Linked DNA regions of Caenorhabditis elegans. The protein of the gene in region 1 purifies or fractionates together with the protein of each later gene. This does not show direct contact. Each region holds a gene or a part of one and is shown in the gene's direction. Other genes may lie near its edges.

The links. The genes of interacting proteins can lie anywhere in the genome.
Region 2: the proteins of tkt-1 (region 1) and cyn-7 fractionate together in Caenorhabditis elegans (co-fractionation; one large-scale study listed by BioGRID). This does not show direct contact.

Annotation. Positions count from the first base shown.
Region 1 is NC_003282.8:10,241,115-10,246,815, forward strand, and holds tkt-1 (transketolase), read left to right. Parts: upstream 1-2,497; 5' UTR 2,498-2,501; coding exon 2,502-2,622; intron 2,623-2,673; coding exon 2,674-3,347; intron 3,348-3,393; coding exon 3,394-4,168; intron 4,169-4,252; coding exon 4,253-4,539; 3' UTR 4,540-4,593; downstream 4,594-5,701. Other genes in the region: lipl-7 (Lipase), read right to left, coding at 1-167, 448-550, 604-690; F01G10.10 (BPI2 domain-containing protein), read left to right, coding at 5,048-5,134, 5,636-5,701.
Region 2 is NC_003283.11:15,185,388-15,189,109, reverse strand, and holds cyn-7 (Peptidyl-prolyl cis-trans isomerase 7), read left to right. Parts: upstream 1-1,731; 5' UTR 1,732-1,749; coding exon 1,750-1,818; intron 1,819-1,866; coding exon 1,867-2,118; intron 2,119-2,232; coding exon 2,233-2,427; 3' UTR 2,428-2,528; downstream 2,529-3,722. Other genes in the region: bath-36 (BTB and MATH domain-containing protein 36), read right to left, coding at 1-469, 530-636; Y75B12B.3 (Transposase), read left to right, coding at 2,850-3,086, 3,137-3,184; Y75B12B.1 (Mos1 transposase HTH domain-containing protein), read right to left, coding at 3,702-3,722. UniProt on the Caenorhabditis elegans protein: PPIases accelerate the folding of proteins. It catalyzes the cis-trans isomerization of proline imidic peptide bonds in oligopeptides.

The DNA of each region.
Region 1 (5,701 bases):
TGATGCAGGAGTTCCACGGCTATTTGCAATCCAAATATCAAAACCTGCATCGGCGAAAACAAAACCAGCCGATTGATTTGCTAGATTCGGAATCCAAGAGAATCCGTCCGCAAGGAGGCCGTGTTGCATGAATACTATTGGACGTTTTGAGCTTCTGTCACATTTTTCTGAAAAATATTAGAGATGATATCAAAGGTAATTCACAGCAAAATTCAATGTATATTAAATTATTCAAAAACTTCTTTTTTTTGTTGACAGTTTGGAAATTTACCAATACTGGAACAAAGAGAAATCTGAAATTATTCATTTTGTTTAATCGGCCATGTTAAAAATCAATGAGAAAACTTGTACAAAATCTCTACTGCCGATACTTCATTTTGAAGTTTCCGTTTACGAAATAAATTTAATTTTCAAATGTCACATTTTTAACTAAAATGACAGACTTACCATTTTGTTTACATGGGATTCTGTGAAGTTCCAGAATATACTCATCCGTTGTTCTCACTAAATGTACTTCTGATTCATACCCAAAGTGTTTTCCTATTTCTGGCTACAAAAAAATTTGTTCTGAGATTAATAAAATAATTTTTCTCAAAATCTTACCACAGTCATGTAACATTCATCGTCAATAGCTAGACTTAAATTTATAGAAAATGAGAGTAAAATCAAAAATAAATCGATTTTTGACATGAATCAAAAAACCTTGGGAGGAGAGGTTATATGGCAGAGCAACAGGATGAGTGTTGGGTCACACCTGTTGTAACAATTACCACCTTGGACATGTCAATAACATATGTTGGGGTCAAGGATTAGGTACTTTTCAATTACAAGTGAAGTATTTTTAATAGATTAAAACACCAAATGAACAAATTTCGCGTTTTCTATTTTAAAATTCATCTTCAATCTAGATATTGTAAATGTACATGTAAAACTATTCACATTTTAGGTTTTTTAAAATGGCATTTAGGTTTTAATATTTATGACGATAGCTACAGTAACCCTTGCTTGGCACACTCCCTCATACTTATATTTCACGTGGTGTCAGGTTGTAACGGTTTGATCTCCAAGAAATGCGGGAATTTTTTCCCCAAAAAAATGTGACGTCAGCACGTTCTTAACCATTCAAAATCAGTTGAGAACTCTACGTCTAAACTCCCGCATTTTTTGTAGATCACAACGAAATGGGACATTCTGACACCACGTGATATTTGAGTACTCAAGTTAACAATGAACAATTATTTTATGCTAAGTTTTATGTGGTACTTGTTTAAATTAATGACTGAAAATAGTGAATCATAAAATTGCACTCTATGCTGTAACTTTTTTGGGATTTAAAATTTTTAGGACAAAATATAATAAGTTCGATTTTTGCATCTCTTTTTATTATAACAATTTAATTAAAAATACTAGCATTTTTCTTTCCAGAAATCCCGATTATTCGTTTCTACACATTATCAGAATTTCTAGACCACTTCTAGACCTACAAACTTCGGTAGATCAAATATGGAAGAATTGATCTTGACCCAATTTGCGACAGCGCGTGGTTTCTGATTTCCTTTCTCTGCATATCTCGCCGGAGGCGAGAACGCTCATTCGGGTTCTTTTACTTACTTAACCCCAATTTTTATTTTCTTTATTTTCCGCATTTCTTTAACAGATTTTCGTAACTTTTTTTCTCAATAAATTCCCTATTAAGAGCATATTTTCTTTCCCCACGCACAATAAGTTAGCTCATATTTTAAATACCGATATCGATACTTTCTCGAGATTCCACCTTGGCGCCAAAAAGTTTCAAACGCGGGGCCTAGAAAACACAATGGCCGCGAAAGTTTTCATCATTTTTTTTGTGAGAAATCAGAGAGCGCTCGAGAGCGCCGCTGTTTTAGTCGGTAAACATTCTTTTTTGTGCGCAACGATCGAGAATTGTCACTGTTTTCATATACTGGTATATTTTGTAGTCATTGGATCTCCATTTTAATGAAAATTTCCTTCAGAACATCTGCGTCTCACTAGAAAGTTAGTGTTTCCGTTGTGATGAAACGCGTGTTGGGTTTTTTGGACATTGTCTTTTCATACTTTCAACGCAGAAGAAAGCGGTGTCTTTTTCCACGATTTTATATGTCCAAGAAAAACATTTTTAGGCCTGTCTTTTCAGTTCTTTATTTATTCAAAGTACAGAAACGAAGATGAAAACGTTAACGTTGCGCTGCCCGGTGTTCTTTAGAATGACATTTTTTGCCAACACTTTGCAATTTTTGCCTGAATTTTGAGTTGTTTTCTCGGCCAGTCTCCTGTTTTATGCAGTGGTACCATTAGTAAATAATAGATAAGAAAATGGTGGTGCGTTGAGATGATAATGATACTAGTTGATAACGATAAGGTGTATGTCTCTCCCTGTGTGAAACGGCCGACGATTCACTATTTTCTTCGAGAATGTTCTTTGCCGTTCTTATTCTGAAAATTTTAACATTCTCCCAAAAATCCATTATTTTTGCAGGAGAATGACCGTTTCGGAGCAACTTCGCAATGATTTGGAAGACGCTGCCAACCGCATGCGTATTTCCTCGATCGAGATGACTTGCGCAAGCAAAAGTGGACATCCCACGTCTTCTACGTCTGCTGGTAAGAATTATTCAACATTTACTCGAATCCGATAAATTTCAACATTTTCAGCCGAGATTATGTCAACTCTGTTCTTCTCGGAGATGAAGTACGATGTCGCAGAGCCAAAATCAGCATCTGCCGATCGTTTTGTTCTCTCCAAGGGACACGCTTGCCCAATTCTCTACGCTGCGTGGGAAGAGGCCGGTCTTCTGAGCCATGAGCAAGTGCTCTCTCTCCGCAAAATCGACTCGGACATCGAAGGACACCCCACTCCTCGCTTGAACTTCATCGATGTTGCTACAGGATCTCTCGGACAAGGACTTGGAGTTGCCACTGGCATGGCTTACGTCGGAAAGTACATTGACAAAGCCAGCTACCGCGTCTTCTGCCTTCTCGGAGATGGTGAATCTGCTGAAGGATCTGTCTGGGAAGCTGCTGCTTTTGCTTCAATCTACAAGCTCGACAATCTCGTTGCTATTGTCGATGTCAACAGACTGGGACAAAGTCAAGCCACTTCTCTTGGACATGACGTAGAGACCTACAAAGCTCGCTTTGCCGCTTTCGGATTCAATGCCATTATTGTCAACGGACACAATGTTGATGAGCTCTTGGCCGCATATGAGACTGCTCGTTCCACCAAGGGAAAGCCAACCGCCATCATCGCCAAGACTTTGAAGGGAAAAGGAATCGAAGGAATTGAAAACGAGGACAATTGGCATGGAAAGCCAGTCCCAGAGGGAACAGTAAGTTTGACGTGAGAATGAAATAGTCTCATATTAAAAATTTCAGGTCAATGCCATCAAGGCTAGATTCCACGGAAGCCAAAAGGGAAAGCTCGTTGCTCAAAAGCCAATCAATGACGCCCCTGCTATTGATCTCCATGTTGGATCCATCAAAATGGCTGCCCCAGAATACAAGAAGGGAGACAAGGTCGCCACAAGAGCCGCTTACGGAACTGCACTTGCTAAGCTTGGAGATGCTAGTCCACGTGTCATTGGTCTTGATGGAGATACCAAGAACTCTACTTTCTCTGACAAACTTCTTAAGAAGCACCCAGATCAATTCATTGAGTGCTTCATTGCCGAACAGAATCTTGTCGGTGTAGCTGTGGGAGCGCAATGCCGTGACCGCACAATTCCATTCACCAGCACATTCGCTGCATTCTTCACCCGAGCCACTGATCAGATCCGTATGGCCGCTGTTTCATTTGCTAATCTCAAATGCGTTGGATCTCACGTCGGAGTCTCAATTGGAGAAGATGGACCAAGTCAAATGGCTCTCGAAGATCTTGCAATTTTCCGTACTATCCCAGGAGCAACTGTTTTCTACCCAACCGACGCCGTGTCTGCTGAAAGAGCAACAGAGTTGGCTGCCAACACAAAAGGAGTTGTTTTCATTCGTACCGGCCGCCCCGCACTTCCAGTTCTCTACGACAATGAAGAGCCATTCCACATTGGACAAGCCAAGGTTGTGAAGCAGTCAGCCCAAGATAAAATTGTTCTTGTCGGATCGGGAGTCACTTTGTACGAGTCATTGAAGGCCGCTGAGGAGTTGGAGAAAGAAGGTTTGTTTTTTTTGTTACGTTTTACTTTTTAAAGTTTTATTTTCAAAAAGAAACTGTATTTGAAACTAAAAATTATGTTTTCAGGAATTCACGCCACTGTTATCGATCCATTCACCATCAAGCCACTGGATGGAAAGACCATCGCCGAGCACGCTCTGAAAGTTGGAGGACGAGTTGTTACTACCGAAGACCACTACGCAGCTGGAGGAATAGGAGAAGCTGTTTCCGCTGCTCTCGCTGATTATCCAACGATTCGTGTCAGATCATTGAATGTCAAGGAAGTTCCACGCTCCGGACCACCAGATGCTCTCGTGGACATGTACGGAATCTCTGCTCGTCACATCGTTGCCGCCGTCAAGAACTTCCAATAATGTATTTTTAATGCCTCGTATTATAGTATTATATAGCTTTCCTTTATGTTTACTTGAAATGGTTGTGAATTTACAGCAAAATGAAACAATTTAAAAAAAGGTGCATCGCAGTTTGTATAAGCTTCTCGCACGCGTCTAGACAATAAGAAGGCCGTTTCGCGGGCATTGGATGTTTTGTGGCGAGGCGATGACGGGGATCGAAACCTGTTCGGTACCCGAATTGATACACTTCTCATCTACATCTTCTTGTCGTTTCTGAGAATAAGCGATACAGAAGATGAACACTCACGGCTTCTTAGTCTTTTTCCTCTTTCCGCTCCTCACTTTTTCATTTTCCTTTCAATTTCATGATTTCTCTTTTTAGGAACTGATCAATATTTCTGATATGAGGATTTCTCTTTTTTAGACGGTTCTTTCAAATAAAGACCAAAGTTTTCAATTTTTATATTTATATAACGTTACTAGCAGTATGCAAACATGAAATGAGTTTTTATTTATTTTTCCAGTTATGAGAGTTCTACTATTATTTGGATTCTGTGTACCATGGCTTTCATCGGGACAAGAAATCACTCGGGATTATTCTCCACTTCTTGATGTAAGCTTATCAAATTTATTATCTGTTCGGCAGATCTTTATCGATTTGATTGGAAAACAATGGTTGTGGCATTTCATATTTTGAAACATTTAAATTTTTTGGACAGACCCTTTTTTCACATACCACGATTATACCTGCTTATTTCTCCAGGCTCATTTCAAAATTGAAAGAATGAAACGCGAAGTTTTGCTTTATCTACAAAAAAAATAATACGGTATACGATATTTGCGAAATGCGAAGAGTGCCCTTTGAAGATTACTGTACTTTTAAAAAAATTATCGCAAGATCTCGTTATTGATAGTTTTTGAAATTTGGCAGCAAAGTAACAAATTTTAATGAAACAAAAAACTGCATTTGACACCATAGAAACAATGTTGCATATATCAATTTAATATGACATCTCAGTGACTTCAGTGAAACACTTGTTTTACCGTAGTCCAAATGAAATTAAAAATCTAATCTTTCATAAAATCTTCATCAACATATTCATTTTTTTTATAGAAAAACACCTCAGCTGTCAACCCGGGTATCTACCTTCGAATCATGCCAAACGGGTTAGCTTACTTG
Region 2 (3,722 bases), on another chromosome or scaffold:
ATTCGAATAGAACATTTTTTGGAAGAATTGCGAGCTCGTTGCGAGCACTTGCTTGCCAACATGGACATGTTTTCCTTCAAGCACCAGCACAACATCGGTAAGATGTTCCTTGGGTTGATCGAAAGTCTCGATAATCCTCTCATGAATTCCGGCAATCTTGTTGACAGTAATTTGGACTTCAAGAACGGCATGCTTATCGAGCACAAATCGATTATCGTAGCAGATGGCTTCCTCCCAATTTTTAAAATTGTTGACCACCACAATCTTGTTCAAGTCGTCGAACTTTTGCTGAAACTCCATCGAAAACGCGTCATCATCCTCGTTTGAATTGAGTCTCAGAAGTGAAAAACGAATTGACGCATCGCAGGACCACAAGTTGCTGCGCAGTTCCTCGTTGCATTTCAGGTGAATTCCGAGATGTTTAGCATTGTTCGTAGCGTCGGAAGTGCTTGTGAATGCTCCAAGAATCCTTAAAAGATAATATTTTAAATAATTTAGAACATTTTTTGTTTCATTAAAATTCACTAACCATTCTACGTGTCCAATTTGCACTGGTTTGTGCTCCGTCGCCTTCGCCAAGCCAGAAAAATTTTGAATCTCAAAACGAATTGATCCTTTATTGTCTTTTCCAGACATTTTATCTTGTGATAAATTTAATTTGAACAATGAAGAAGAATTTGAAACAAACAATTTAAGCTGAGCAATGCTCTCACCTACAGTACACTAAATGGCTTCGAGACCAGTCAAAATTTATAAAGTTTATTGGTCTATTTCTAGGACTTTCACATTAACCATTTTTAGCACATCACGATGTATTTTGTGCAGATTTTATTTTGTCCTTGTACGAAAAGATTATTTTTTAGCGGATAAGCAAAGCTAATCTTGACGAACCGCTTCGCAGATACCCGTCACATGCAGAGCTTCATATTTAGCTCAATCGATCTCGAAAGCATTCAACAAAATGAAAAACTGTTGGATTAATTTGTGATCTATTTAGCAATTTAAAATGTTCTCAATGTTTCTCAATGTTAAATCATCTCGATATTTCTCCTTCTTTTCGTGAAGACCGTGGTGATGATCGAACTGATATCAATGACCGGTTTTTCAATGTAATCTTTTATTGCCTACAAAAATTGTTATCAATTTCGGCGCCGTTCTGTTGTTTTGTGTACGATCATTTGAAAACACAGGCGCACGGTGAAAGTGTTGACAAAAGGCGGGAAACACAGCGAAAGTGTCGTCAGATATGGCGCATGTCGTATGATTGGGTGTCGGGTACGCAGACACTTTTGCGGACTTTGTTGTTTACGTCGGAAAATTCTAGAAGCGAACGGCTCATTTCTTCTCTCTTTCGTCGCCTAATTTGTTGATTTTGTCAGAATTTTTATAGTTTCGCTTATTAAAATGAATTAAAATCAATTGAAAATTATTTAAGAACTTTTTTGATGTGCAACTGTCGTTTAATCCTTGTTGAATCACGTCTTTCGGCAGATTTTAGGCCCAACAGGAAAATTAATTTAGTTGGGCCTAAAATTTTCTGTTTTAGTGCGCTAATTCACTCCATTTCAGTATATAGCTCATCCGTGTGCTTCTTCCTTGTATCTTATGGTGCTTTGTTTATATTTTTAACTTTGATTGATTCCCGCTCTATTACCGCAGAGCGTGTTTGCCGCACCTCTGTAGATATACCTATCTCATACATATTTCTCAACTATAACTCAAGCATTTTAGTGATTACCCTACCTGAAAATGAGCCGCCCAAGAGTCTTCTTCGACATCACCATCGCCGGAAAACCAACCGGACGTATCGTTATGGAGGTAAACAAAACACTGATCTTTTTTCATGAAATTAAATCTTATTTTCAGCTCTACAACGATATTGTTCCAAAAACCGCTGAGAACTTCCGTGCTCTTTGCACTGGTGAGAAGGGAGTCGGAAAGTCCGGAAAGCCACTCCACTTCAAGGGATCCAAGTTCCATCGTATCATCCCAGAATTCATGATCCAGGGAGGAGACTTCACCCGCGGGAACGGAACTGGAGGAGAATCCATCTACGGAGAGAAGTTCCCAGACGAGAACTTCAAGGAGAAGCACACCGGACCAGGAGTCCTTTCCATGGTAAGTTATGTTGCCTAGCCAGATTGAAAGACAGCATAAACTGATAGAAAAGAAGCATTATCTAGTTTCTTAACTGTTATCCACTGGCTGATAAGTTTCATTGTTTTTCTTCAGGCTAACGCTGGACCAAACACCAACGGATCTCAATTCTTCCTCTGCACCGTCAAGACTGCCTGGCTCGACGGAAAGCACGTCGTTTTCGGACGTGTCGTCGAAGGATTGGACATCGTCAGCAAGGTCGAGGGCAACGGAAGCAGCTCCGGAACTCCAAAGTCCGAGTGCCTCATCGCCGACTGCGGACAGCTCTAAATTTGTTCTCCGTGAGAACTTTTCTTCTTTTCAATCACCCCATCCAACCCTGTTTATTGCTTCACTTTTTCATCTTGATCATCAATAAATTGCTCGAAAAGAATATAGTTGTTCAGTTACATGGGTCGTACTCGAGGAAGCCTTCGTGAATTGTTCTCAACAGCTTGGAGAGAACTGTAACATTGTAGAAGCGATTGAAAGCGTCGATTTCCGTCATTTTGTTCCAATCTCTGCGCATTCTATCCTGAATTTCAGACAACCGTTCGAACTCTGTTGACTCGTGAAGAGTAAACACATAAAATGGAATTGTTAGAGGAAAAGCTGTAAATTGTGCAAATATTCAGATTTCGAGCATAAAATGTAGGCATTGTTGCCAGCTCTTCACATTCTTTTGGTTATTCTCACTTGTCAGATTCCTAGAAATGTTTCCCGAGATTCTTAATAATGAAAAACTTCGATTGGAGAACATTAAGAAGATCTATGAATCGAGCAAGTCTGGTTATGAATCGGCCAAACAGTTGTATGAGCAGCAGGTCAACAATCCGGAAGTTTCGGATGAGCAAAAGTCGGAGAATTTGGAGAAATTGAAGGAGTCTCGTGGTGATTTGGACAACTTGCAGAAGAAAATCGTCGAGCTTCAGGCGAAGATTGAGAACTTGGTTAGTTGAATACCTTTTTAATAAAGCTCCAGTAGTCTCTCCATTTTCAGAGCAAACTCGGCGGGCAACAAGGAAATCCATTCAAGAAGTTGTTCTAATTTTTGATATTTTCTTAAATGAACTTTCTTCCAGTTACAAGAGTATTACAGGCGCTAATATTTATTTACAATTGTGGCAAGCTATTTCAGAAAATAATGTGCGGGTTAGTAGGTTTGGGTTGTACACAAGAATGATTTTAGTCCTCGTCGGAGCTCTCTTCCGAATCCTCTTCGGAATCCGAGTCATCATCTCTCCGAGCGCCGATCCCTTTTATCTTTCCGACGAGCTTTTTGATGAGAGATGGCTTGTTCTTCTCTTCGTATTCTTCCAGATTATCGTGAAGCTGAAAATTGGAACATTTATTGTGAGAAGGCTTTTTGAAAACATACTTGAGATCTGAAATCGACGATCTCTTCAGCCGAAAAGTTCGCGACAATGAACTCTCTGATAGCAGGCTCTCCGAATTTGCACATCTTCAGCACGTGCTCCTCCTCATCCGAAAAATCACCGTAATCATCATAAATTTGCAAGTATTTCTGGAAATTCTCAATTATTAGGGCATTCAACCCCAGAACCCTACCATTCCACAGAATCTCC